7 linked regions of the Rattus norvegicus genome follow. The protein of the gene in region 3 purifies or fractionates together with the protein of the main gene of each other region. This does not show direct contact. Links are inferred from orthologs where the notes say so. Each region holds a gene or a part of one and is shown on either strand. Other genes may lie near its edges. The genes, in order: Snw1, Hnrnpf, U2af2, Ncbp1, Acin1, Srpk1 and Snrpd1.

Region 1 (3,547 bases), on a different chromosome or scaffold from region 3:
GGGGACATTTCTTTTTTTTCTTTTCTTTTTTTTTTTTTTTTTTTATTAACTTGAGTATTTCTTATTTACATTTCGAATGTTATTCCCTTTCCCGGTTTCCGGGCCAACATCCCCCTAATCCCTCCCCTTCTTTATGGGTGTTCCCCTCCCCATCCTCCCCCCATTGCCGCCCTCCCCCCACCAGTCTAGTTCACTGGGGGTTCAGTCTTAGCAGGACCAAGGGCTTCCCCTTCCACTGGTGATCTTACTAGGATATTCATTGCTACCTATGGGGTCAGAGTCCAGGGTCAGTCCATGTATAGTCTTTAGGTAGTGGCTTAGTCCCTGGAAGCTCTGGTTGCTTGGCATTGTTGTACATATGGGGTCTCGAGCCCCTTCAAGCTCTTCCAGTTCTTTCTCTGATTCCTTCAACGGGGATTCTATTCTCAGTTCAGTGGTATGCTGCTGGTATTCGCCTCTGTATTTGCTGTATTCTGGCTGTGTCTCTCAGGAGCGATCTACATCCGGCTCCTGTCGGTCTGCACTTCTTTGCTTCATCCATCTTGTCTAATTGGGTGGCTGTATATGTATGGGCCACATGTGGGGCAGGCTCTGAATGGGTGTTCCTTCAGTCTCTGTTTTAATCTTTGCCTCTCTATTCCCTGCCAAGGGTATTCTTGTTCCCCTTTTAAAGAAGGAGTGAAGCATTTTGATCATCCGTCTTGAGTTTCATGTGTTCTATGCATCTAGGGTAATTCAAGCATTTGGGCTAATAGCCACTTATCAATGAGTGCATACCATGTGTGTTTTTCTGTGATTGGGTTACCTCACTCAGGATGATATTTTCCAGTTCCAACCATTTGTCTATGAATTTCATAAAGGCATTGTTTTTGATAGCTGAGTAATATTCCATTGTGTAGATGTACCACATTTTCTGTATCCATTCCTCTGTTGAAGGGCATCTGGGTTCTTTCCAGCTTCTGGCTATTATAAATAAGGCTGCGATGAACATAGTAGAGCACGTGTCTTTTTTATATGTTGGGGAATCTTGTGGGTATACGCCCAAGAGAGGTATAGCTGGATCCTCAGGTAGTTCAATGTCCAATTTTCTGAGGAACCTCCAGACTGATTTCCAGAATGGTTGTACCAGTCTGCAATCCCACCAACAATGGAGGAGTGTTCCTCTTTCTCCACATCCTCGCCAGCATTTGTTGTCACCTGAGTTTTTGATCTTAGCCATTCTCGCTGGTGTGAGGTGAAATCTCAGGGTTGTTTTGATTTGCATTTCCCTTATGACTAAAGATGTTGAACATTTCTTTAGGTGTTTCTCAGCCATTTGGCATTCCTCAGCTGTGAATTCTTTGTTTAGTTCTGAACCCCATTTTTTAATAGGGTTATTTGTCTCCCTGCAGTCTAACTTCTTGAGTTCTTTGTATATTTTGGATATAAGGCCTCTATCTGTTGTAGGATTGGTAAAGATCTTTTCCCAATCTGTTGGTTGCCGTTTTATCCTAACCACAGTGTCCTTTGCCTTACAGAAGCTTTGCAGTTTTATGAGATCCCATTTGTCGATTCTTGATCTTAGAGCATAAGCCATTGGTGTTTTGTTCAGGAAATTTTTTCCAGTGCCTGGGGACATTTCTTGAAGCCTTAGCTCCTCAGTTAGCTTACCATTCACAATAAGAAATTACAACTCCCGAGAGCAGAGCTTAGTGGACGAGCACACATTTAGCATCTGAACCTGATGTACCCCAAAGACGAGAGACAGCTTCATAGGGCACTTTAAAATACACTAGATGTGTTGCTATACCAGTCCCTTGAATACCATGTAAATCTCTCTGGTATATCATAGCTATCAGAAGCACATAGATGAGAGATAGAGAGAGGGAGGAGGAGAGAGAGAGAGAGAGAGAGAGAGAGAGAGAGAGAGAGAGGGAGAGGGAGAGAGAGAATGAATATGAATATGAATGAGAGAGAATACCCTATTGGTTGAAGATTAATTCTTCATGAAGGTCAAACTTCTAGGTTAGAGTTATTTCCAGAAAAAATATCTCATTGTTCACATGAGAAAGGACAGCATGAGTTTTCAGGGGTAGGGAGGTGGTTAGGGGGGGTTCACTCCTTTGTTTCTTTTTAGCTATTCTGCTGTGTAGCATTGCTGTTCATGGTATTGTCAGGAGTGGTGTTCATGCTTGTGACTCCTGCACACATGAAGCGAAGCAGGGGGATAACAAGTTGAAGGCTACTCTGGACTACATAGCAAGATCTTGTCTGAAAAAATAAGCCCTAAAAATAAAACCTTCTGTTGCAGGGCCTGGTGGCACACTTGAGGTGCAGGCAAGCCAATATCTATAGGTTTGTGGCCAGTCTGGTCTAAGAGTGAGTTTTAGGACAGCCAGAATTGTATAGAGAGACCCAAATACATAGACTCAAAAAACAAACAAACAAAAAATCTTATGTACCTCAGATGCCAGAGCTTCCGGAGTTAGTGAGGGTCTATAAATTATGGGATACATTTCCAAGTTCTAGTTTCTTATAGGATTGGAGTCTACTGCATGAGTCATATTGATGGGTGAAGGCGGAAACTTTAGACCAAGAATTAAATATGAAATTACATAGTCGTGCTCCACTGGAAAGGCTCTGAACCATCTTATGTGGGTTGATTCATATCTATGCAACACTGTGGTCTGTTGAGATGACACTGAAGCACTGTGGGTCTTCATTTATCTATGGATCTTTTTCATATGGTTCTTTATATTTTTGCTTTGGGGCCAAGGTCTCAGTCTGTAGCCTGGAACTTGCTGTGTGGGCCAGACTGGTCCTGAACTTGTAATCTCAACTGTGGTTGCAGACACGTAGCAGCACGCCCAGCCAGCACTGCTTCACGTTAGGAGACAATGGATTTAAGGGTAGCATTTGATAGATGAGTTAGAAATCGGGAAACATAAAGCCAGGCCTGAAAGATATGATTCCAACAGAAGTTCAGCATACTCCCTGGGTACAAGCAGTTTGTCTGCATTCTTAGGACCTAATTTTACTGTAGTCTGACTATTGGACGGCAGGCTTAAACACTTGGGCTCTTGCATCATCATGTTAGTGATCCAGTCTTAGTTCTTCCATTTACTGACTGAATTTGCCACCATCCCTTGGCGCTCTACCCCACCTTCCTGTGAGAGGGAGATGTGTGGCAGCCTCATGCAGTTAACTAGGGTGACTAGAGCATGAACCCTCCATCGAAAGCCTTTACTGTTGTGTAAAGGACGTGAGTGTAAGAGATAGAAATGTGAGTGTTCTCAGAACGGGCATGCGCTAGTAATGTTCTGTGATAACTGCAGCCCCACTGTGCTGACCTGCCTTCGGCTTTCATTTCAGGGGTATACGATTCCACTAGATAAACGGCTGGCTGCTGATGGAAGAGGACTTCAGACTGTCCACATCAATGAAAATTTTGCCAAACTGGCTGAAGCCCTATACATTGCAGATCGGAAGGTTGGTCTTTTACAGTTTGCTGAGTGTTTGTGCATCTGTGAGCCCACATCAGTTTACCTGAGATCTATAGGGACACTGG
Region 2 (4,209 bases), on a different chromosome or scaffold from region 3:
ATATTTTAAAGTATTTGTATAGTAGTGCTTGCCGGGGTTTTCTCTACAGGTGCTTAGGTCAGAGAACAACTTTTGCCCTTTCTCTTCTGTGGGTCTGTGGATGGTTCTCCACTCAGGTGTCAAACAAGCTAGGTGACTAGTGCCTTGCCCCATTTTTTCTGGGCCCTCAAAAAAAAATGAGAAGTGACTGGATTATTTCAGAGGCCAATTGCTTTGAATTAAGATTTGTGGTTGCCTGTTGGGTGTAGATTTTATAAGGTTCATTTTTTAAAATATTTATTTAACGTATATGAGTACATTGTAGCTGTCTTGAGATACACCAGAATCTGTTAGAAATGGTTGTGAGCCACCGCGTGGTTGCTGGGAATTGAACTCAGTGCTCTTAACTGCTGAGCCATCTCTCCAGCCCCTATAAGGTTCATTTTTATACATATGGGCCAACTTAGGTTTAAAAGTCAAGCACTCCTTCCACTACGGCGATACTAGGGATCCAAACCTAGTCAGCCTCTAGGGCTCTGAGGGAACTCGAGTAGTCCCGGCAGGTCTCGAAATCAGCTTGGCTCTGCCTCCAGAGTGATGGTATTAAAAAAATGTATGTACCATACCGGTCATTAGTTTATGTAAAAAAATTTGAGACAAGGCTAAATGATGGGATTAAAGGCGTGCCGCCACCAAGTCGAGTCGGGAGTTTTTAAAAGTTAGGTTATCGTGGAGTCGGCGGGCAAATGAAAAAAGTGTAGAGTGTCTGCAGGTTTCCATTCTGTACTCCGAGTTGATTTGGTTTTACTTGGCTGAGTCTGTCAACGCTTCGTTGCATTCGCCTTTCCAACTGTAGCGGGTAGTCTGTACTTTGCTCAGGTGGCTCCTTTACCCAGAACTCAGCGAGGAGTCTTCCCCTTTCCTTTCCCTCCTTCCCCCACTTCCGGCGCCGGCCAAACCCACCGTTCGCGGGCCACACCTGCAGGCACGCTTTTCTCATTGGTGACATATTGGCGGGCCCGGCAGGGCACTTCCTCCTCTACACCCCGTGACCCGAGTCCGACTGCCGCTGTAGATCACGCGGCTGCTGCTTCCCGGACTCCGGACTCGAACGCCCGTCTCGGCGTGGTGAGCCCCGCTTCCCGCCCGAGCCCCAGGTTACCGGCTGCGTACTTGACCTGCTCACCTTAGAAGTTTCCCTCTTCGAGCTTTTCCACGCTTCGGCCTGCGCGAGTTCTTACTCCAGCCCTCTTCCCCGCCCTCTGGATCTTCCCCTCCCCCACCCTCCGAGGCTCAGGAGCCTCCCTTCCCCCCGCCCCCGCCCGGAAGCTCCCGCCCGAGCCCGCGCAAGCCCCGGGGCGGACCTTCCTGCCCGGCCGGCGCTCGCTGCGCGGCGCGGTCGACTACCGGGCGAAGGCCGCGGAGCAGCGTCACCTTGCCCTCCGCCCTGCTTCCCGCCAAAACGCTCGTCTCAAGGGGCTCCGCTTCCGCAAAAGCGTTTCCCCTGGTCATTTGAACTTCCATTTCAGGTTGAGAACAAAAAGAAGATGCACCTGGACTTTCCCCGGAGCCCTCTGCGTTTTTAAGGCGTCGGGTGGAGTTGGGGTTCGTAAGCCGCGTTCGTTATTGAAAATAGAAGTCACTTCTACCTTCCTCCCGTGGTAAGTTTCAGAGCAGAAAAAGGCAGCAGCTTTGAAGCCGCGGCTCTCCTGGTCTTAAGAGTAGAACTTTCTGAGTAAGAAAACCTGCCTGGATGCGCTCCCGGCGTTCCGGAGGTTAAAACTCATTTACAAAATGGAGGGAGGATGAGGGCGGGCTCCCAATGAAAACTCCGGCGACTTCCTGGAACACAAAGATGCATAGAGGAGGGTGCAGCAAGGCTCCCACCAAGCGGGCCTGAACAAAAGAACTAGGTGGGTGGCGCTTGAGCCGCCCTGTTTGTTCAGCCGATAAACTTAACTAGTCCAGGATTCAGAGGGCGCACCTCTTTTATCTTACCTGGATCTACCTGAAGGCAGTGAAAATCCAGTTTAACCAGTATCACTGACTGGGTAGCTTGTTAGAAAAAAGTCTCAGCCTGTTTGTTTATTTTAATAGTGCATTTTCTTTAGTGTTTAACTTGTGGAAATGTAGGCCTAGCCTGGCTATAGTATAGGAGTCAGTCGCCCAAAATGATGCAAATGGTTTCAGTAGCGTGTCTTGCAATTAAAATCAAATGTCTGGGTGTTCTAACAGTACTTACAAAGACCCGCCATGCCATCTTCTCTTTTACTGGGCATGTCTCCACAGTTCACATGTTCACGGGTCTCGTGCCAGTGGCTTAATGTAGGTCTAGCTGCTAGCTGCATGCAGTATAGTGTCTCCAGGGAGGCCCACAGGTATTGTCTACCACACTAGAAGTAAAAGGTTGGAAAAAGGGGATCGAGTCATTAGAATTTCATGGACAGGAATATGGTTGAAACTCATTAAAGTGAAGCCCTGTTTCAGGGTCTTTGAAACTATTTTCAAAATGGGTTTTTAGCACCGACACCCCAATATCTTGCATAATTTTGGAAAATGAGACAATGCAACTGCAGTTACCCCTATTTTAAGACAACAGGCAGAATAGCCTACCACATTTCCAAAACGAAGAATGCAGCATAATTTGTCATAGGATTCAACCCCTTTCCTCACCATTTGGGAGAAGCTTTGTCACATAGGTTATGATAAAGCAAAAGGCATTGGAGACCCTTCCCCACCTCCAGCATGGAGAAGATAAATAACAGGAGTGTTTTTTCATTTCCAGAGGAAATTCATGCTGGCCTGGATGCCTATGCTACTGAAAGGGTTGGAAGTCTTGGCATAAAGTGCCCACTAGATCCCTGCTCTATTTAAATTTTAAGTTTCTCCTACATTTAAACTAAGCTTAAATTAGTTCTGCTAAGTTGTTTGCTGATGTCCTCTACCCATGAAAAGATGAAATATAAATAACCAGGAAACCTAAATATGTTGGTCCTAGGGCTACAATGTATTTCTGGATTTGAGAAAGAAACTTAGCTTGCTCTGAGCCTAGCTCCCAGGAGGTCCCCTTCTGTACGATGATGAATGGAATCTGAGGCCACGAGACCAATCTTGGGTTTTGTGTTTGTTTTTATTTTTTAAGGAAAACTTGTTATCTTCCATTCTGTGTTTCCTACAGAAGGCATCTGTGGTGGTTCTTTAAGGTAAGCTACTAAAAGATACATTTAACTGTAAGACGATTAATTTGTTAAGCAAAGTTTAGTTTTCTTTGAAGAACTGTCAGTTTTAAATGCTTGGTGAGTTTACAGTTAAGTCAAACTAAAGAACTATGAACTTCTTGGGGGGGTGAGTAAAAGCAAGCTGTAGGTGTTGGTTGACATGTTACAGAAAAGAATGCTTTCTTCCCCTGTTGCTGAAACTGCTTATAAAGTACTTGTTCCTTATGCTTCTTACATGTTTTTAGCTTTGACTAAGCTGCTATACTCTGAAGGAAGGTGTTGACCCTAGGTGGACAGTAAATCCCTAGCTAATCCTTGACCTGCTGTGGTCTGTTCCCTCTGCTAAGGATGAAGTATTGGACAACAAAATTGTCCTAAGTAGGGTCCCAGTGTAGTTTTGAAGACCTTTTAAAACTACAGAGAAGGTTGTTATGAAAGTAGAAAGTCAGACTTATTGTGGGACGTGAGAAGATGTTATTGGAATGGTAGTTGCGCTTAGATAACCCAGAGGATTATCAAGGTTTAGCTGGACAAGGTTGGGCAGAGGATATTTGGGTGGAGAATTATTTGATGTGTCAAATCCTCCAGGGAACAGTGGGGAAATTAAAGGAACTAAGGAGTAAAAAAGAATGATGGATATAGATTAAGAATGTCTGTAGGATCCAAGGATTCTTTTAGTTCAGTCTCTGTTCTAATAACCAATGGGAAATAGGGCTTAGAAGTGGGGCATTGACATAATTGGGTTACAGTTGTTAGATAAATCTTAAGATTGTGATAGAGTAGCAGGGAGTGTAAGTGTTTTCATTAGAGTTAAGAGACGCTAGGAATATAGGAGTCAGGAATTTTGAACGAGTCCCTGTGGCAACACAAGGCTGCAATTCCATCTACCAGGAGGTGGTGAGGCAAAAGGTCTTAAGTTTATTATTATGGTCAGCCTAAGCAACTAGACACACAGTTGAATCATTTAAAAGTGGCTCAGAGGATTTATGGCTCAGTAGAGGAGTATTTTGTT
Region 3 (3,977 bases):
AGGGGGCGCTGTGTAGACTCGTTTCCGTCCGCCCGGGGTTAGATTTCTCGTAGGTGGCACGTTCTGCGGTTGCGCAGCAGGAGCAGGGGCGGACGATTTAACGCGATTGCCATGGCAACCGGGAGAGGGCAGGCTGGTTAAACCGTCTTGAAGTTAGTGTCTACGGGGCTAAGGTTGGGGGTGGGGGTAGAGGTATGTTGGAGGAGATCGTGCGCACGCGCAATGTGGATTTAGAATGGCGGATCCTCCCGAGAGCGGAGAAAAACGTGCCTCTGACCGCTACGCAGGCGCAGAAACCCCTCTCAAATCACTGTGCGCAGGAGTCCCAAGCTGCGCTAACAACCTCCGCCGCGTCCTCGAACACCCTTTGTTCAACTGGCTGCTATTGTCCCGTACACCTTCTCTGGCCTTCCGCGAGGTCAGTTTTTTCAGTTTTCTAGAGAGCTAAGTGCCAAAGCTGAGACTCCGCCCCGTCCACTATAGCCATCTGGCCCACCTCTCATCTGTCCTCCCTCCCTTTTCGGTTCTTTAAGCCGAAAGGAGCCGAAACAACAGCGGAAAAAGCCGAATTTCCCCCCCTCCGTGCTGGAGGCCTTCCTGAAGCAGTGGCGGAAGGGAACGATATTCTCCGGAAGGGGCGGAGTGACCCTGTCGAACCTCCGGAAAGAGCCGAAGATTACAATCGGGTTTAATCTCTAGAGGGGCGGTGAGCGAGCGCTGGAAACCTTCGGAAGAGCCGAAGGCCTGGACGGTTAGGATTGTTGGAAGTGACTGACCGCTTGAACAGGGTCGGCGAGGGGTGGGACTAATTTCCAGAGGCGGCCAGAGACTGAGACGGTTTGAGTTGTAGGAAAACCCGTATCTTTAGAGGAGGCTGGTGTAGGGGAACGCGAGGACCCACGGAATCCTCCGAACGTTGAAACGCTAGTCTCCGAAAAGTTACCGCAACTTGGGCAGCCGGCAAAAATCCTCGCTTCGGGTGATTTCGAGGGCGACCGTCGTCTGCAGACTTCTCTCTCCGAGAATAGCCGACAGGCTTCGGATCTGAGCTCGGGGAAGTTCGAGGGGGGGTGGGGCGGGCGGGACGAGGGGGTGGAGTCGGGACGGGGCGGGGCTTGGGGCTTGCTTAGGTAGGCGACGGAGTGCCGGCGGGGGCCGGAAGTAGCCGAAGCCAGCGGCGGAAGTAGCCGGAGCGGGCGGGCGGCAAGGCGAGGCGAGAGCTGCACAGGGCCCTACGCGGCCGCCTAAGCATGTCGGACTTCGACGAGTTCGAGCGGCAGCTCAACGAGAATAAACAAGGTGAGGGCGCTGGGGTTGTGGGGTGGCTTCTTGCTTCGCCCTGTGCGCCCCCCCTGCCATTTCTCTTGTTCCCTTCCCTAGGGCCGCACGATTTACCCCCCCCCCCGTGCCGCGCGCGCCTAGCTCACGTGACCTCCCCTTGGCGCTGAGGGAAGGGGTGGCGGGCGAGGCTCACGGCGCGTGCGCGCCGCAATATCCCGCGCCCACGTGGTCTCGGTGGAGGCGGCGCGTTTTGTCAAGTAGGCGCATTGAGGGCGCGCCGCATTCCTCTTTGTGCATCTTTTTTGTTGTTGTTTTAAATTTTTGTCTTTTACTTGAGAAAGACATGAATTTAGGTCTCAATTCTTTTTCTTTTGCTGCCTTCGCACTTCCGCTTCCGGTCGGGCGTACTTTTCCTTTCTCCACGCCCCCTTTGTTTCCAAAATGGCGGTGGTGAAGCACACTCTCTCCCCCCCCCTCCTTCACGTGGACTGGCGCTGCAATCACTAGGTGCTTGTAGGTTTCGAGCCTGTTCATACTTTTCGATTTCTCCAGAACTCTCCTGTCTCGATGTTTCTGTCTCAGCCTCCGGTTTTGTGGCGTCTTAGATAAAAATGTGTCCTACACCTGTTTGCCCGCCAAAGAGGGAAGTCTCTGCGTTCTTTGTGCCCCTGCTGAGCATAAATCATATATGCCTTGGAGTTTGGGCGGCCGACATCTGTTTTTCATATCCCTAACACTCCCTAAACCTTTTGGTTTTAGGCAAAGCCCAGGTCCTGTATCATTCCAAACTCGGACACCTAAATCCAATCATACTGTAGGGATAATAAAATAATAATAAAATAGTCAAGCAAATGGGAAGTAGGGAGCTGGCCCATTAGTAGGTTAGTAGAGGCAGGTGCTCCTAAAGTAAGATCCTGTACTATGAATTTGGATCAGAAAGGCAGTCAGGCTATGTTGGTGCTGATGGATTTAGGAATCCCGAGGAAAGAGTTGAGTTATATATAAGATATAAGACATCTCTACAACCTCCTTTTTTGAGACTGAAGAGCTCAAATTTCTTAAGGATTGAGACTTAAGCTGCCTTGTGTTGGGGCATTCGGTGAGACCTTCAGAATTCTTCGAAATGAAGCTGGAATTGAGAGAGTAGTTGAAACAGTACATGTGGAAAAAGTAATTATTCTGAGTGCCCTTGTTGAGCTTTTCTGCTTTGAGTAGTGTACTGTTTAAAAGTATAGGCCTTAGAAATTGAATATACCTGAGTTCAAATATCTTTATGTATGGTAATTTGTTAGGTGTATGCTGATCATCACTGCTCTGTTTACTGGGTTTTTGAAATTAGTAATGGTGGTACATACTGACTATAGTTGTGATTAAACTCAGGCCTTACCATGTGTCAGGGCAAGGAAATTTGTTAAACTCTTAAAATCTCCCTCCCTCCCTCCCTCCCTCCCTCCCTCCCTTCCTTCCTTCCTTCCTTCCTTCCTTCCTTCCTTCCTTCCACAAGGTTTCTCTGTATAGCCCCAGCTGTCCTTGAGTCCTTGAACTTGTCCTACTCAACAGAGGTTCTCCTGCCTCTGCCTTCTGCATGAGACTTGAGCCACCATCATGCTCTAAACAGTCTTAAGTGAATCATTTGTAACAGCCTTCTGAGGACATACTAGCTTTCTGTTTATTGAGCAGTAAACTAGGGCTTATAAAGTTTTTGTTTTTTCTCTTAAGAAAAAAAGCTCCAGGCATTAGTCAGTGGAAAGCTGGAGCTGAGTTTAAATGGAGCAGAGTGTATATAGATTGTGTGGCTTGGATTATGCTAAATACCTAACTAGACTGGTGTCGAGTTGTAGAAGGGTGGGGAAAGTGGATGCCAAATGTTATTCCTATAAGACCTTGGTAATGTAGATGTGACCTTCATTCAAAGAAAGAAAAACTGGATGTTAAAGCTAAGTTCCTGCTTTTGTGTAGAGCTCTGACTGCAAAGCCAGTTCCTTGTGGTTCAGGTGGTTCAAGTGGAGCTGCTTTAGCTGTTTTTTGAGGCTGTGATACTAGTTCTAGAGTGTCCCTTCTGATGTTGGCAACGGGGCCTGAGACCCAGCCTATAAGGGTCGATTATTGGAGCTATGTGCATAAGACAGCTAGAGTATAGCATTTTGAGCAAATGAAGTTTCCTTTTAACGGTCCAGCATCAGTATGTGGGAGAAGGTTCTTGCCTTGCTGGAAGAAAGCTTGACCATCTTGTCACCTTGCCTGCCTGTGGGTATTTGTCTCTGACCCAGACTCACTGTATCTCTTAGCTTTAGCCCCCTTCTTAGTTCCCTAAGTTTACAGGAAGTTTGTGTCCTAGACACCTGGTGTTGTCATGTCATTTTTGGAGTTTGTTGTTTTTGCTTTTGAGACTTAGCGGGAGGGAAGACATTTGGGATTTGTAAGTAGCCCCTCTTCCTGGTGTGGAGCCAGAGCTGTGCTTGTCTCAATATTCCACAGTTCTTGCCCCTGTCTAGCTCTTGATTATTTTATTCTTTACATGTACATGCACATTCTTTGCTGTTAGTAGTTGAACCCAGACTCTGTAATGAGTGTTCTGCTTGGTCTTCGTTTGAGACTACAGCCTGGTACCTAACTTAGTGGCATTACAATTTCAGTCTTGGCTTCACTGTTGCCCAGCTGTTGGGCTTTGAGCAAGTCATGATCTCCCTGTGCCT
Region 4 (3,500 bases), on a different chromosome or scaffold from region 3:
GGGTGGATGCAGTGAGAGGTCTCAAATGACTGAGGGGGAGTGGATACAAAGGAGCAGTCAGGGTTACTGTCCAGCGTCGACAGTGTAACTTGAAAAACAAGATTAGCTATGTGAAAAGGAAAGAAACATACCGTCCTTAGGCAGGAGAGTAGGAAGTAGTTCTCCTTACCTTCCGGTCACAGCTTGCACAGGCCACTGAGATGCTGTACATGCGTCTGGACACCATGAGTACCACGTGTGTTGACAGGTACGGCCATTGGTGACATCGTCGCAACTAAGGGCTATGTTAGCGCCTCAGGAATCTTCAGAATCTCATATTCAAAAATTATCAGTGAGAACTACCCCCGTCCATGACCTTGAAACATTTCAAATGATTGAAATCAGTTTGGAGAGAAGTGCTTTAAGAAAGTGTTTTCCAGTGTCTCTAATAGAGTACCAGTTCTGTAAACATTTGAGTACTCCAATGGTCTTCAGGGCATCATTTAACACACTAAGATGTTTCCTGTCCCGAGAGCTACGTGTGTTTAAGTGGGTATATAGGCTGTCCTGAAAAGGTCGTAGTGGGCTTGGAGAGCTCAGCAATTCAGGTTCTGCTCTTCAGAGGACCTGAGTTTGGTTCTCAGCAAGCACATCCTGAAGCTTTGCTCCAGTTCCAGAAGATTCAATACCCGTCTGACCTCTGGCACTGCTGGCACTGTGTACACAGATATGCAGTGTAAACACATAAATGAAGAAGTAGTTACACTCTTAAAAGGTCTTTGAGAGTCTAAGAGCTGGTGAAAAGGCTCAGTGGTTACAGCACTAGCTGCTCTCCCAGGAACCCATGCTTGATTCCCAGCAAAACACGAGAAGCTTACTCTGATTCTGCCATTTGTAAATTATTTGTAAACATTAACTACAATTTATTTTTTTAGCTATTTCCATGTCATAAACAGTTACATGAAAAACTAATATCCTCCTTCATAGCTGTGAGAATTACATAAATATTTTGCACAAAACATGCTTTACTCATGGCTGTTCACTAACAAGAATAAAAGGGAGCCCCATTGTGAGAGCTGAGGAATCTGGGGACATAGGACAGGGAGTCAGACTTTGTTGAGAAAACAAAAGACTACAGGTGGGGTGGGGTTCCCCGAGACAGTTGAGCTGTATTAAGATTTTATAAACTGCTGGTCTAAATTGCACTCTTTGTTTTCTCTTCTCCCTGCTCCACTCCCCAATGTAGGTTTATTAATTGGTTTTCTCATCATCTAAGTAATTTTCAATTCCGCTGGAGCTGGGAAGATTGGTAAGTGTAAGGTTTATCCTTCCTTATTGAAAACAGTTACTATTGGAGATTGCTCAGTCAGTAAAGTGCTTGTTACTCGAACATAAAGACCCAATTGAGCTCCAGAGCCCATGTTAAAAAAAACCCATGTTGAGCCCTTCTTGGTTGCACACACCTTTAATTACAGCACCCAGGAGACAGAGGCACACCCATCTCTAAGAGTTAGGAGCCAGCTACATAACAAGTTCCAGACCAGCTAGCACTGCTCAGTCAGACCCTGGGTTTAAAAAAAGCCAGCTGTGGAGATGTGGGCTTCTAATCCCAGCACCAGGGACATAGAGATTGACAGATCCCTGAAGCTCACTGGCCAGTCACCCTAACCTAATGGGTAAGTTCTGGGCCTAGCGAGAAACACTATCTCAAGTCAAAGTGGGTGCACTGGGGGAACAACGCCCAAGGTTATCCTCTGATCTCCCTGTACAGGTCACACTCATGTATGCAGCACATGAATACATACATACACAGGAAAACCTTAATATTTAAAACTAAAAAAAAAAATATATATATATATGAGTGCTCTGTCTGTTTGCCAGGAGAGAGCATCAGATCCCTTTATAAATGGTCATGAGCTACCATGTGGGTTCTGGGAATTGAACTCAGGACCTCTGGAAGTCAGCCAGTGCTCTTAACCACCAGCCTCTAAAACTCACTTTAAAACAGTTTGTTGTCTCAAGTATTTCTTGATATTTAGTTACTCTATGTGGATGAGGTAAAAGGTAGAGAAACCTCTAACCAGGAACTGAAGGTTATGCATGTTAACGTAATCCAGATTTCCTCCCTAGGTCAGATTGTCTTACTCAGGATCTTGAAAGTCCCAAACCAAAGTTTGTAAGAGAAGTTCTAGAGAAATGTATGAGGTAAGCTCTTTGCATTTTGTTCTCTTAGCTCTCTTAGCTTCTCATGAAGGAAACTGCTGGAACTGGTTATTATCTGACAGGATTTCTCTCTCCTTTGTTTTGTACTTACAATGTTTGTCCATCTTCCAACTCACTTTTAAATGAAGATTTAGGCTACAGTTAGTCTGCTGTACTATTTGGATTTTATGTTAATTAAGCCAATAAGATTCTTTTCAATGTCTCCCAACATTGATGAGCATTTTCTTATTTTCTAAACTTGGGTTTTTATCTAATCTGTGTTTTCTTAGCCCTCTCCGAGAGCCATCTATTTAAAGAGCCTTTAGTTTCTAGTTGATAGAGTATGTTTTGGGGAACTGTGATTTAAGCTCTTAATGTGTATTTTTTAGGGGTAGTTGAGGCCTTTGGGAAGATACCGTGTGCATGCTTGCACGGTATATCCCTCTTTTCACACCCAACATTGTAAATACTATGTAAATGCTCTGTTGGACAGGACAAAGCGTGCCTCTTTCTAGCTCCCACTTATTTCTTTGCCGTGTCACGACCAGCCTCCCAGCCGTGCCATCTGACCTCCACCCGACCCATTCTCACTTGCAGTCTTCCCTGAACGCACGCTGCAGAGTCAGTGTCTGAGCGGCCTGAGCTCACTCACCTATGCTAACTTTCTCAATGGTTGGAAGGACTTGGTCCCCATTTGCGTCTTGGTTGTTCTCTGTGGGATCTTAGATCTGGCTTCTGGGCAGGTTGAGTATTAGCAAAGCCTGAAACATGAGACTTTCTGAGACTCTTGTTTATGTTGTAGGTTGTCTTACCATCAGCATATATTAGATATCGTTCCTCCCACCTTCTCAGCTCTGTGTCCTGCAAACCCAACCTGCATTTACAAGTATGGAGACGAAAGTAGCAGTAAGTAACACTCTCTCCTTAGGAAGTACCGATGGACGCATTCGGGGAAGCTGGTTACCCATAGGAGGGAAGGTTGACGTTCTCAGAATCGTGTTTCTATATTTGAAAAACGACTCACATTAACCACTAGATTAAGGATTTTGTTGTTGTTGTTGTTAGCTTTAGGTTCCTTCTGTTTTATTCTGTTCACAGTGTTTTTCACATGACCTTTTTAATCCAGTACAAAGAGTAGTACTGTACAGAGGGGAATTCTTCCTGGAGTGTACTAAGACTGAAAGTGCGTTTGTTAAGATGGAGACTTGTTGAATTGGTTACCATCTTGTCCTAGTTAGCGTTGCCGTTGCTGTGATGGAGCGCCATGAACACAAGCTGAGGGAACTGTTTGATTGGTTTATACTTCATGTGTCCATTGA
Region 5 (4,080 bases), on a different chromosome or scaffold from region 3:
GTTCAAAGTACAAGCAACTGGTCCCAACCTAAATGCTGATTTTCCCACAGTTCCCCACTGTGTGTGTGTGTGGGACGTAGGGGGTGGTCATGAGACAAGAACCTACTGTACAGTGTATGAACCACCTCTGAAACCTGTAAAAAATGTTTATGTTCTATGACCCCCTTATTAAATTCTCTACCACACTAGTAAATTTTGGAGCAGGCTAGGTAAAGTTCTTGTCTCAAGGTAAGGTAAGGGTTAGAAAATCAGAAGCCACTTTATTAAAGTTCTGAAGAAAGTCCTTTTGCTTCTTTCTTGACTTAGGTAACCTAAAAAGTGTGATACGGATGCACACGTGTCTCTCAACAGTTTTCCTTAAAGCTTTATGCCTACAAGTACCACTCATTTTGCATCATGGATGCAAGTGTCAGCCAACTTATTCCAAAATACTTTAGTCCTACAGTTTGTATCTCCAACAAGGAAAACCTTCAACTCTCTAGGACCTAAATTTCTACCTGTTCTTACTTCTCCGAGTTGGAAAATTTGTATCCATGAAGAAAAGAATACCTAAACGTCAGTTCTAAGTCCCGGTTCAGGGTGACTGCCAGTTTCAAAGTGGCCCTACAGGGAGAAGTTTCTCCTAAAACTTCTCTTTTTCAGAGAAAGGGAATTATTTACCCAGGCTTTTTTACATTTACATGGCTTCCACTGTAAACTTAAATTCGATGTCATTAATAAATTTGCTGTCTGAGATCAAAGACACAATGCTACTTTTTCCCACGTTTGGAAGCAGCAGGTCTCTTATTCCTTAGCCACACAGGACAAAGCATTTCTTAGACCGAGTGGCTGGGATATAGAGGATGGGGACCACAGAGATTTCGCCAGGAAGCAGAAGGGTTCCCCAAAAGAAAACATTCAGACACCAAGTCTTATCCGGCCTAGGAGAAATTTCTTTTCCTCTTACCTCCCTTTTCCCCTTGGAGGGCGCCCAGAGATCACAAGAGTGCTTCAGCTCCTGCTCCAATTCCCCGAGTCTCTTCCATGTTTCCGGAAAACCCTAAGTACAGCCAGCCCCAGTAACCCACGCACTTCCGGTCCGGAACCAGCCCCAAGTACCCAAGTGCCCCAGCGCCTCAGCCCTCAAGTCCGGAGATAGCCGAATATCTCCGATTATGGGTATGCCAGATTCGAGGGCTTCCGAATAGATTCGATTCAAAGCCTCGGCAAGACGAAAACAAACGAACCTGAAAGTAAAATGGGAGGAGCCGGCCGCTAGGCAGATGGAAAAAGCCGATTGGTACCGATGTGGAGACGGAAACGACCGAACAGTTCCGGAGGAACCCGGGGAATTCTGAGCGGTAATAGAGGGGTAGACTATGGCAGTGGGCGGGGCCAGTTCGGTACGTTCGAAGGGCGTTGGCGGAAATTACCGAAGATGCCCGAAGCCGTCGGGACGGACCCGAGTACCTCACGCAAGATGGCGGAGCTGGAGGAGGTGACTCTGGACGGGAAGCCTCTTCAGGCTCTGCGGGTGACCGACCTGAAGGCCGCACTGGAGCAGCGAGGCCTAGCCAAGAGCGGGCAGAAGAGTGCCCTGGTCAAGCGGCTCAAAGGGGTGAGAAGTCAGCGTTGCCGAGGTGTCGGAGGGGAGCGGACCTGGTAGAGACGAGTCTCCGCTGCGGCGCAGGCGCAGTGTCCGGGCTCGGCGCGAGCTCTCTCAGGCCGCCAGCGCGAGCCTGCAGATCCACGCGCACGGTGGTTGGTGTGGCTGGCGCTGGAATAGAGATAACGCCGGTTCCCGCCTTAACGGCAGCAGCGCGAGCCCAAAATGGGAGGGTGCGCGCTACTCTCCCGGAGTGTCTTAAGCTCCTTCCTTCTTCCCCCACCCCCTCCTTGTTTGTGTCTGTGTTTTCGGCGCATGCGCTGCAGAAGGAGTTAAATCCCTCTACAACCACCGGTGTGGCTGGCCTTAAGGGGGCGAGCAGGGCTGTGTCCGAGTTAGGGATACAGTTGGGCGGATGGGGTTGGTGTCTGTGTCTGCAGTAGTACATTTTGGATAGGGTAAAAAATGTCCGCTTGACTAGATTAAAACCTTAGATGAAGGAAAACCTTGATAGAAGGACTTGTCAGAGACGGGTGTCTAATTTATAGGGAATCGAGAAACAGTCTGGATAAGAATTTGGTGAATATTGGTGCGAGAGGTGAGACAGATTACTTTAGGCTGGGGATTTTGTATCGGTTTGAGCAGTGAGAATGAGCTTGTTGTCGTGAGGTATACATACTGTGTATTGGTTTGGTGTAAATGGAGGGAAGGAAGGTGAGAAGGACTAGTGTAATTTGAGTTCATTAGGGTACGTGGCTCATAATACTGATAGGGACTCGGTCAGTTCAGGCTTTGAGTTGACAGACCGTTGCTTATCCCGAAGCTGACAGTTTGTGGGTGGGTGTGGATTAGGTCAGACCACAGGTTACAAGGTCTGTGGTTAGTTTCTCGGTGAAGTTTTTAGTACATTTGATTTGTCTGGGTGTCAACACTGATGGAAATTGTGCAGGTTCATTTAAGTAGTTTTAGTTCTGAAAATCAAATAATAGTCAAATCTAAATTAGCAGCCTAGTGTTGGTTTCATGTAATTTGAAACTTGTTTGAGTACTTGTAATTTTTTTTGCCTGTATTACCAGATTTAAAAGTGGCTCCTAGTCAAAATTACAGACAATAACAGGGGTTCTAGTTCTGATTCTGCCACTTTTGCTGATTTTTTTGTGACATAGCCAGGTCACTGATTCTTTGTGTGCCTGTATTTTACATCCGTATACTTGGGAGCAGTAACCATGGCTACCTTTAAGCGACTTATGAAGATGAATGAGAACAATATTAATAAAGCGCTTTTAGGCTCTGTGAAAGGAATGTAGTATAAATGTATATTTAAGTAATTTAGTGAAAAGGCTGTGGGAGAGGTAGAGATCTGGAGTGCTTTTTTGTTCCCCCTCCTGGTTTCTGATTTTTGCTCTTCTTTATACCAGGCTCTAATGCTAGAAAATTTACAAAAACACTCAACACCCCATGCTGCATTCCAGCCAAATTCTCAGGTAAGAAAAAAGGTTTGTTTAGATAGAATGGGCTATTTGGAGAAAATGGTAAATGGGAAGACTTGGTGTCTTCCATGTTTATCAGAAACAGAATTTTCTTGTTTTTTTATTGCAAGTGATCTCAGTTACTGGGTTTTTGTTTTGTTTGTTTTTGTTTTGTTTTTTTAAGGTCTGTTTTTATTTTATGTGTGTGGGTGATTTGCCTCCAACGGGTGCCCACAGAGGCCAGGAGAGAATGTCAGATCCTCTGCAACTGGAGTTACAGACAGCTGTGAGCCACCATGTGGGTGCTGAATCGAACCTGGGTCCTCTATAAACGCAGCCAGTGTCTTAACCATTGAGCTATCTCTCCAGCCCTCAGACAGTTGAATTCTAATCACCCTCAATTTTGCATAAAGACCTGGAGTTTTAAAAAAAAGAAAAGAAAAAAATATATATATATAAATAAAATCAAAGGAGCACTGAATGAATTTTGAATTCTTGGAGTGTGTCAAAAGTATCACTCTGGGGGTTGGGGATTTAGCTCAGTGGTAGAGCGCTTGCCTAGGAAGCGCAAGGCCCTGGGTTCGGTCCCCAGCTCCGAAAAAAAGAACCAAAAAAAAAAAAAAAGTATCACTCTGATTAAGTGTGCCACAAGAATCTGAAGTCACTTGCCATCAGCTTAGGGGAAAGTTATCTTTGAATATAGATCTTTGAATATAGATGTAACAAAATACTTTTTCATCAAGAACTCTTTTATTGGTACAAATTTACTTTAAAGAATTTGATACTGTATTAATAAACCCTTATTTCTAGGACTAACTCTTAAACATCCTTAAAACCTTGATGACTTAGGACAAGGTACTTAACACTTAGAGACCTTTGTTTCTTTACCCGAAATAGGAAAAGTAGTTTGACTTAGTTCATGGTTTTATAACTGCTCTGCTGGGGTGTCTTAGGGGAAAAAACTTTGTTCTAAGAGTTCCTGCATAAACGTTTTTGTGGTTGTTGTTGTGGGTTGAAACAGGGTGT
Region 6 (3,547 bases), on a different chromosome or scaffold from region 3:
GAAAAGCTTTGCCTAATTTTGTGGTGTTTTTTGGTGTAATGTGGAGGCATTATTAAAAATCTTGAATGATTTTAGAATTTAAGATGGGCTAGAGAGATGGCTCAGAGGTTAAGGGCACTGACTGCTCTTCCAGAGGTCCTGAGTTCAATTCCCAGCAACCACATGGTGGCTCACAACCATCTGTAATGAGATCTGATGCCCTCTTCTGGTGTGTCTGAAGACAGCTACAGGGTACTCATCTATATCTAGATAGATAGATAGATAGACAGACAGACAGACAGACAGACAGATAATCTTTAAAAGACTCCTATAAGCAACATGGGAATAATATGACTTACAAAACTGAGTGAAGTTCCACTGTCAGTTATAGAATTCAAGACTTGGGCCTGTAGAGATGGCTTATAAGAACATGGCTGCCCTTCCAGAGAACCCCAGTTCAGTTCCCAGCACCCACATGACAGCAGCTCACAACTGTTTGTAACTCCAGTTCCAGGGGGTCTCATGCCTGCATACAGACATACGCAGGCAGAGCAACAGTGCACATGAAATAAAACAAACTATTTAAAAAAGCAAAGGAGTCAAGACTTAGTATAGAAATCATCCGGTAACATCAAGTTCAGGTGTCCCCACACAGGTGCAGAGAGCGCGTCCACCGTGCCTGTCAGTGTGCACGCTCTCCCTCCCTCCACTCACTCATTTGCTTCTGCGCTCTTTATCAGTAGTCATGTTTCAAGAACAGGAGCTACATGAAGATCTCCTCAGATCTTTATTTTAGCTTTATACTTGACTGTCAGTCTATAAAATGTATTGATCTGTAGCCCTGTAGCCTCCTGAGTCTAAAGGAGGGCTAAGCCTCTTTCCAGAGTGCTGGGAATATAGGACTCACCAAAGTGCTAAATGTTCTGTGAATGCGTCTCATTAAGTCCTTGGGCCCCTTTGAGAGCTGGGGCTGCTCAGCTTGGGGAGATTGCTTATTTAAGTCCTCTTAGTTGGAGGACTCTCCAGGCTGTCTGCTAGACTGGGCTCGCAGTGCTCCACCAGCTGCATTCTTTCTAGGTAGCTTTCTGCTTCTCCTCCTTAGAGTTGTCTCCCTAATATTCCAGCCACCCATCTCACAGGCTCCTCCTTCACTATTTCTATGCCACCCACTGCCTCCCAGGTCCTTTCTCTAGGAACTGCACTGCCTTGAATTATCCATCCATCCATCCATCCATCCATCATGTATACAGCATTCTGCCTGCATGTATGCCTGCAGGTCAGAAGAGGGTATCAGATCCCATTACATATGGTTGTGAGCCACCATGTGGTTGCTGAGAATTGAACTCAAAACCTCTGGAAAAGCAGTCAGTGCTCTTAATCTCTGAGCCATTTCTCCAGCCCTCATTAATTTTTAAAAATTTCACAGTTGTAGTCCTTGTTATTGAAACTGTAATATCTACTTTCCTGTGGAGCTCCCTATAGCTGTTAAAGCTGTCAACGCAGTGGCTTGAGGCAGTTGTTACAGGCACTTGGGGCTGGACAGGGAGAAGGCTTCATCCCAGCAGTTTGAAGCCAGCCCAGGCAGGCCAGTGAGGCTGGCAGCGAAAGGCAGCATGCTGTCTGACTTGGACCCCATATGTCAGGCAGCCAGCTTGAGGTGTCGGACCTCACTGCATGGAGAGCTATGTGCTCAGAGTGAAATTCAGAACTAGCTGACTGGAATGCCAGGGTCTGTAGTGTTCCACCTCAGGGAAGCTCAACTCTGGGGTGACTTGGCGGTGTAAAAGCAGGGGACAAAGTTGTTTCTGGAGTGTATAAAAATACTTAAAACTATCTTTAAAACTGCAAGGTGAAGAAAATGTAATGGCTTTCTCGGGATTATGCTTGGATGTTGATAGTCTTAGTTATTATAGACCACTAACTGCCGCTTTGTGAGGCTGCCTCTGGTGTTGGTGTGAGGGGCTGCTAATGACATTTCTTAAGCTCACTCTTTGTTTTCTGTGCATATGGAGTGAACATGTTATTGTTTCTTAGGCCTGAAACCCAGCACCGAGGCTCTGCACCCCACTCCGAGAGCGACATCCCCGAGCAGGAGGAGGAGATTCTGGGGTCTGATGATGATGAACAGGAAGACCCTAACGACTACTGTAAAGGTGTGTGCTTGCCTGTCCAGTGCGGTGATCAGTGCGTCCTGATGTGACCGCCTTGCTCTGTCCTTTGATCAAGATGCAGGAAATGGGGTTTTGCTCTTAGTTGGGTTATATTGCGTTTTTAAGCTTGTTGACCCTGCTAGGGCCTGACCAGAGCCTGGGGTTACATTCTTGCACTCAGCCCCTTTAAAATGTGTTTTCCAGGCTGGGCAGGGTGACACACCTTCAATCCTAGCACTCTCGAGGCAAGGGCAGGCAGATCTCTGAGTCGAGGCCATTCTGATCTGCAGAATGAATTTCAGGACAGCCAGAGCTATGAGACATGTAGAGATTCTGTAACTGACTAGCACTAATTTAAAAGGAAGGAAAGAAATCTTTTCCTCTTTGAAAATTGACAGGATATGCTTACCTACGAAAATTTCAGAGGTGTGGTGAACAGATAGATACCAGAGCTGGCTGTGTAAGCACAGTCTGTGTGTGCCGGGATAATAGGTGTGTGTCGCCACACTCAGCTCAGCTGGTATATAGATTTGTTTTTGTTTTTGTTGTTTGTTTTTTGTTTTTTAAGATTTATTTATGTTTGTATGTGAGTACACCGTTGTTGTCCTCAGACACCAGAAGAGGGCATCAAATCCCATTACAGATGGTTGTGAGCCACCATGTGGTTGCTGGGATTTGAACTCAGGACCTCTGGAAGAGCAGTCAGTGCTCTAACCACTGAGCCATCTCTCCAGCCCTGTTTTTTGTTTTTTTGGTTTTTTGTTTTTGTTTTTGTTTTTGTTTTTTGAGACAGGGTTTCTCTGTGTAACAGCCCTGGCTGTTGGTGTTTGTTTGGTTTTTAACTACTGTAATCCTCTCTGTCCAGGTGACAGCTGCTAAGATGTGTGTAACTGGGCCATCAGGCCTCAGTGGCCACCCTGCTGTGATAAGACTTGCCAGGGTCTTGAGGGCAGACCCTGGAGGATCTGCTTCACTGTCTAGGGGAGCTTGGACCTTTTCCCCCACAGGCATAGATAAATGCCGACATGTATTGTCTGGGACCTGAGGCGGACTTTCTGTTTGCTTTTTTCCCTTTTTCTTTCCTGGGGTGGTTGGGGATGGTTGTCACTGCGTGGCTGGCCAGGAACTCACTGTGCTGACCTACATTGAGAAGAAAGACCTTTCTATAATCATATTTGTTATTATTTCTCTCTGAATTTTTGAGATACCAAATGGAGATTGGTTGATTTTGATAGACATGTTGGGTTTTGAGAGGCCAGCAGTGTGGTAGCCCGTGACCACAGGTTGACGCAGAATATCACATACCTGGTGTGGATTCTCACCCATGCCGTCCTCACACCAAGCTGAGCGACACTGGGACTCGAGGCTCCCATTGAACTCCTCTTACCAGACGTCCATGGTGCATGGGTACGTCTGTG
Region 7 (4,116 bases), on a different chromosome or scaffold from region 3:
GTTCCATTCAGTAATTCAGACAAAAAGAATGAAACAAAAAGAACAACGCTCATTAAACAAACACAAGGAAGAAAACAACAAACAAAAAACCTTAAACAAAAACATTTCAGAAACAGTCTTCTCACCTGTGATTGTTCCATGGACTTGCGTTCCATTCTTCAATTCAATGGTTACGGTTTCATGACTCAATTTCATCAAAAATCTATAAAAAGAAATAAAGTCCTGATTTTTTACCTTAACATTTTAAGTCTTTTGATGAAGTCGGTAGAGTAAAAATGCTAGAGATCAAAATCTTTAAAATGCCACAACAGTTCATATGGGGTCTGGATAGCTAACCAGCAGTGCAGAGCACTCCCCTCTCTTGCAGAGGACCCAGTTTGAGTCCCAGAACTCACACGAAAGCTCACAAACATTTGTTATCTTTGCTCCCAGAGGATCTGGAGGCCTACGCTGACCTTAGGCACCAGGCAAATTTGTGATGCATACATGCAGATAAAACATTCACACATAAAATAAACATCTTAAAAATAATTCTTCATAATAAATACACAGTGCTTAACTTTTTCTGAACCAAACTCATAAACTTATAAAAGAATGAAGCAATAAACTTTCCTCTGGCATCTTTGGACGTTACTGGGTCCACCTGCAGCTCACAGGCTGCAGAGCACTCAAATAAGCTTTCACCCGAGTCTGTAAACTTGGGCTGTCCTGAGCTTCCGACTAGAGAATACTAGAAAGAGACTATTACAAAACAACCTTAAATGAAGATATCTCAAGATCCTGGAGTAGCACTGGGAGTGGTGGTGCATCCTTTAATTCCAGTGCTTGCTAGACAGACAAATGGGTCTCTGTGAATTGGAGGCCAGCCTGTTTTACATAGTGACAGTGAAATTGTCTCAACAAACAAAAGACCCTAGACTAATTTTCAGACACAAAAAGGAAATAGAATTCTAATTGATAGCATAAGATTACATGGTAGAAATAAAGAACTTCTCTTTTCCTGCATTTTGGTAAACAGGGATATTATTCTAACCCACAAGCATACATGTAAGATTCTACTTTACACAAAGTAGGCTATTCTTTAATGGCATCAATAGTACTTGGAGCTTATTTAGCAGTTTACACTGGGGATAATTCCCTAAAAATAAATATTCCAAGAGCTAGATAGTAATCTACTATATGGAAATGTCAACTACCCCACTGTGAATGATGTTTTCAACTTTCTGCCGTTACAAACCCATTTATGCAGGCCCTCACCAGTAACAATTAACAATCTCCCAATTTTCTATCTATGCAAAAAAAGAAAAAACGGTGGGGGAGGGGTGTTGGGAAGAAGCACAGCAAGCCGGTATATATGCACAGAGGGTGAACGCTTGCTGCTGCCAAGTCTGAGGATCCCAATAATGGAGAACCGACTCCTCCTACGGGTCCTTTCATCTTTGTGCACACAAACTTCCCCCATAAATAAATGCAACTCTTTTTTTTTGAGACAGGATTTCTCTGTGTAGCCTTGGCTATCCTGGAATTCATCAGGATGGACTTGAATTTACATAGATGCTCCGGCCTCTGCCTAATTTGTGGCACCCTCCACCCTGCACATAAATATAATCTCAAAACCCAAACTAAATCAAACCATGGTAGTGCATCATTTAATACAGCTCTAGGGAGGCGGAGGCAGGAGGATCTCTGTGAATTCAAGGCCAGCCTGGTCTACACAGTGAGCACCAAGCCAACCAAGGAGCACACTCGCGCACTCTCTCACCCCAAAACCAATCATTACCACTAACAAAATCAATTAATTGACTAAAATATTGAGCAGGGCCATCAAGTTGGCTCAGCAGGTAAAAAGTACTTGCTGTAAAGGCTGAGGACCTGAGTTTTAATCCCTGAGACCCTGGTGGAAGGCAAAAACAAATTACCAAAAATTGTCTTATAACATACCTGTGCACGAGCACACACAAATAGTAATTTACTTTCTAATGAGCAAAACCAAGAAAAATGTATGCTTGTAATCTAGCACTTGGGAAGCACTTTAAAGTGTCCAAAGGCATTCTGGTCAACTACAACAGGTCTTGACACAAGAAACTAAATATTTCTAAAAACTGGCTTAGATATTATATACCCTGCCCCAGACTTGGCCACAAGTCTGTAAGTTTGGAATTAATCAAACCAGCAAACAAGACTCTAGTTAGGCTCCACTTCCGACATAATCTATGCAATCAGGAGAAATTAACTTGTTACCTTTTGCCCCATCCAGAGACACTTTGTCTTTCCTGAGTCAGAAGCCTACATTAACGAGTTACATGCTTTGGTCGGTCAAAATTAAGGAGAACTTAATCTAAAACGTCTTGCAAATCGGCGTCGTTATTTGCAGATAAAACCATCCTACTTCTAAATCCTCGTCACTGCAAGTGCTCCGACTCGCCACGAAAACGGAGGGACCACTGCTCCGTTTAAGTCGCCGGATGAGAAGTGGACAGAGACGGCTTGGCCACTTCATTCCTGTAAGACCGGAGGGGGTTTGAACGCGCCGGTCCCTTGCCCAGGGTTCTGGGCGACGAGCAGGGCGCGGCGGGGCCCGGGCGCCGGAGGCCGTTAGCAGGCCGCGCGCACGCGGCTTTCCCGCCTCCCTGGGAGCACAGCGGCCCGGCCTCCTAAGCTGGCCCAAACTCTCTACCCGCCGCTCTCCCCCAGCCAGGTAACCCTCCTCACCTCACGAGCTTCATCCTAGCGGCGCAGTCTCCCTTCTAGTCCAACTGTCCACGGAATTCAGGCTCCAAAGACCCACAGACTAGGAGTATGAATGGCCGGAAGAGCGCGCGGAGACCTGCGGATGCGCGACGAGAACGCGGAAGCCGCGCTGCCTTCCGGCGACCGGGAGAGCGACAGCGGCTCCTAGCGACGGGAGGAGCGCTTTGCGCCTTCGGAGGGCGGAAGGGCTGGTGGACTACACCTGCAGGAGTCCGAGACCACTTATGAATTTATTAAAACCAGTTGTGAAGGCCTGGAACTTTCACACGTCAAAGGAGGAAAAGTTCTGAGAGAAGCCCTCCAAGATCCGAGCCTAATCCTTGGGATCCACATGTTGGAAGCAGGGAAATCAATCCTGCAAGTTGTCTTTCGTTGGCTAAGCTAAGCCAATCAGATCTTTGGACAGAGTTTTAAATAAACCTTTCATTTTATATATAGTAAGTCCTTCGACTTAAAAAAATCCAATTCCTTATTTGCAATAACCACACAGTTAAATTTAGTAACACAACATCTACAATTGATATAATTACAAATATAGTGCAAATAATTTCCACTATCACAAGAAGTTTGGATAATATTAATTTATTATCATTTGATTCTAAAACGTATTATTTTTGGTCCTCAGGAGAATGTTGTGTCTGAAAGCAAGGGAATACAACTGCTTACTGTGCTCTCCAATATCTAGAATACTGTTTTCATAGAATATGCTTTTGTCACAAAACGCCCCTGTTCCAATGTATGGGAACTGGTCCCACGGGTCAATGAGATCAAAGGAGGAGGCAGGGAAGCCCAGAATTGCAGTGTGCAGTTTATGGGTGACTTACAACAGATACATTGGCCTGGGCATCAGGAAAAGCACATAGGTCCTTGTGATTAGGGTTAGAAGGTATGTGGGGTATAAACAGGTGAAAGTTATTTCAGAGCTAGGCATGGTGGTGCAAGTTTGGGGCCAGCATGCATCACCAGATTTCACCCAACTAAGAGTATTTCTTGTCTATTTCAAGCTAATCAGAGTCAGGTACATCCTTAGGCCAAGGTCTTGTCATAAAGCTTCAGACAACTCTCTCGTGATTTGTCTATTTTATTCTGGGAAGCTGACCATGGTGACTCAGGGATAATTTTGATAGTTTCCACTCAAAATAATTTTAGTAATGTCAAGATAAATCTATAGTCCTTTATTTTATTTTATTCTTTAAATCTATAGTCCTCTATTGATATGCATGAACAATTAGATGCTTCTCTCCATTAAAACGTGCGCTTTATAAGGAAGGAGACCTTGTGCATATCACTCAATGCAGTAATGCCAATACTGAGCAACTGGTACTCTTACCCACAAATCCCCTTTCCACTTGGGGTCATCTTCCT

Evidence for each region.
Region 1: the proteins of U2af2 (region 3) and Snw1 purify together in Homo sapiens (affinity purification with mass spectrometry; 4 studies listed by BioGRID and IntAct, with this or other methods). This does not show direct contact. The link is inferred for Rattus norvegicus from reciprocal best matches to the Homo sapiens genes U2AF2 and SNW1.
Region 2: the proteins of U2af2 (region 3) and Hnrnpf fractionate together in Homo sapiens (co-fractionation; 3 studies listed by BioGRID, with this or other methods). This does not show direct contact. The link is inferred for Rattus norvegicus from reciprocal best matches to the Homo sapiens genes U2AF2 and HNRNPF.
Region 4: the proteins of U2af2 (region 3) and Ncbp1 purify together in Homo sapiens (affinity purification with mass spectrometry; 3 studies listed by BioGRID and IntAct, with this or other methods). This does not show direct contact. The link is inferred for Rattus norvegicus from reciprocal best matches to the Homo sapiens genes U2AF2 and NCBP1.
Region 5: the proteins of U2af2 (region 3) and Acin1 purify together in Homo sapiens (affinity purification with mass spectrometry; 3 studies listed by BioGRID and IntAct, counting the BioPlex papers as one, with this or other methods). This does not show direct contact. The link is inferred for Rattus norvegicus from reciprocal best matches to the Homo sapiens genes U2AF2 and ACIN1.
Region 6: the proteins of U2af2 (region 3) and Srpk1 purify together in Homo sapiens (affinity purification with mass spectrometry; 3 studies listed by BioGRID and IntAct, counting the BioPlex papers as one, with this or other methods). This does not show direct contact. The link is inferred for Rattus norvegicus from reciprocal best matches to the Homo sapiens genes U2AF2 and SRPK1.
Region 7: the proteins of U2af2 (region 3) and Snrpd1 fractionate together in Homo sapiens (co-fractionation; 3 studies listed by BioGRID, with this or other methods). This does not show direct contact. The link is inferred for Rattus norvegicus from reciprocal best matches to the Homo sapiens genes U2AF2 and SNRPD1.

What each region holds. Positions count from the first base shown.
Region 1 is NC_086024.1:112,833,457-112,837,003, reverse strand, and holds part of Snw1 (SNW domain-containing protein 1), read left to right. Parts: intron 1-3,351; coding exon 3,352-3,468; intron 3,469-3,547. UniProt on the Homo sapiens protein: Involved in pre-mRNA splicing as component of the spliceosome. As a component of the minor spliceosome, involved in the splicing of U12-type introns in pre-mRNAs.
Region 2 is NC_086022.1:152,767,343-152,771,551, forward strand, and holds the start of Hnrnpf (heterogeneous nuclear ribonucleoprotein F), read left to right. Parts: upstream 1-1,386; 5' UTR 1,387-1,640; intron 1,641-3,121; 5' UTR 3,122-3,182; exon of another isoform or gene 3,183-4,209.
Region 3 is NC_086019.1:77,804,488-77,808,464, reverse strand, and holds the start of U2af2 (U2 small nuclear RNA auxiliary factor 2), read left to right. Parts: upstream 1-1,173; 5' UTR 1,174-1,250; coding exon 1,251-1,299; intron 1,300-3,977. UniProt on the Homo sapiens protein: Plays a role in pre-mRNA splicing and 3'-end processing. By recruiting PRPF19 and the PRP19C/Prp19 complex/NTC/Nineteen complex to the RNA polymerase II C-terminal domain (CTD), and thereby pre-mRNA, may couple transcription to splicing.
Region 4 is NC_086023.1:65,232,132-65,235,631, forward strand, and holds part of Ncbp1 (nuclear cap-binding protein subunit 1), read left to right. Parts: exon of another isoform or gene 1-182; coding exon 183-247; exon of another isoform or gene 248-338; coding exon of another isoform or gene 339-355; intron 356-1,225; coding exon 1,226-1,288; intron 1,289-2,109; coding exon 2,110-2,184; intron 2,185-2,983; coding exon 2,984-3,087; intron 3,088-3,500. UniProt on the Homo sapiens protein: Component of the cap-binding complex (CBC), which binds cotranscriptionally to the 5'-cap of pre-mRNAs and is involved in various processes such as pre-mRNA splicing, translation regulation, nonsense-mediated mRNA decay, RNA-mediated gene silencing (RNAi) by microRNAs (miRNAs) and mRNA export.
Region 5 is NC_086033.1:32,114,173-32,118,252, reverse strand, and holds the start of Acin1 (apoptotic chromatin condensation inducer in the nucleus), read left to right. Parts: upstream 1-1,248; 5' UTR 1,249-1,285; coding exon 1,286-1,597; intron 1,598-1,638; coding exon of another isoform or gene 1,639-2,033; intron 2,034-2,044; exon of another isoform or gene 2,045-2,183; intron 2,184-3,003; coding exon 3,004-3,069; intron 3,070-4,080. Other genes in the region: C15h14orf119 (uncharacterized protein C14orf119 homolog), read right to left, coding at 1,639-2,033.
Region 6 is NC_086038.1:6,670,293-6,673,839, reverse strand, and holds part of Srpk1 (SRSF protein kinase 1), read left to right. Parts: intron 1-2,013; coding exon 2,014-2,132; intron 2,133-3,547. UniProt on the Homo sapiens protein: Serine/arginine-rich protein-specific kinase which specifically phosphorylates its substrates at serine residues located in regions rich in arginine/serine dipeptides, known as RS domains and is involved in the phosphorylation of SR splicing factors and the regulation of splicing.
Region 7 is NC_086036.1:1,968,401-1,972,516, reverse strand, and holds the start of Snrpd1 (small nuclear ribonucleoprotein Sm D1), read right to left. Parts: upstream 2,844-4,116; 5' UTR 2,727-2,843; coding exon 2,713-2,726; intron 203-2,712; coding exon 126-202; intron 1-125. UniProt on the Homo sapiens protein: Plays a role in pre-mRNA splicing as a core component of the spliceosomal U1, U2, U4 and U5 small nuclear ribonucleoproteins (snRNPs), the building blocks of the spliceosome.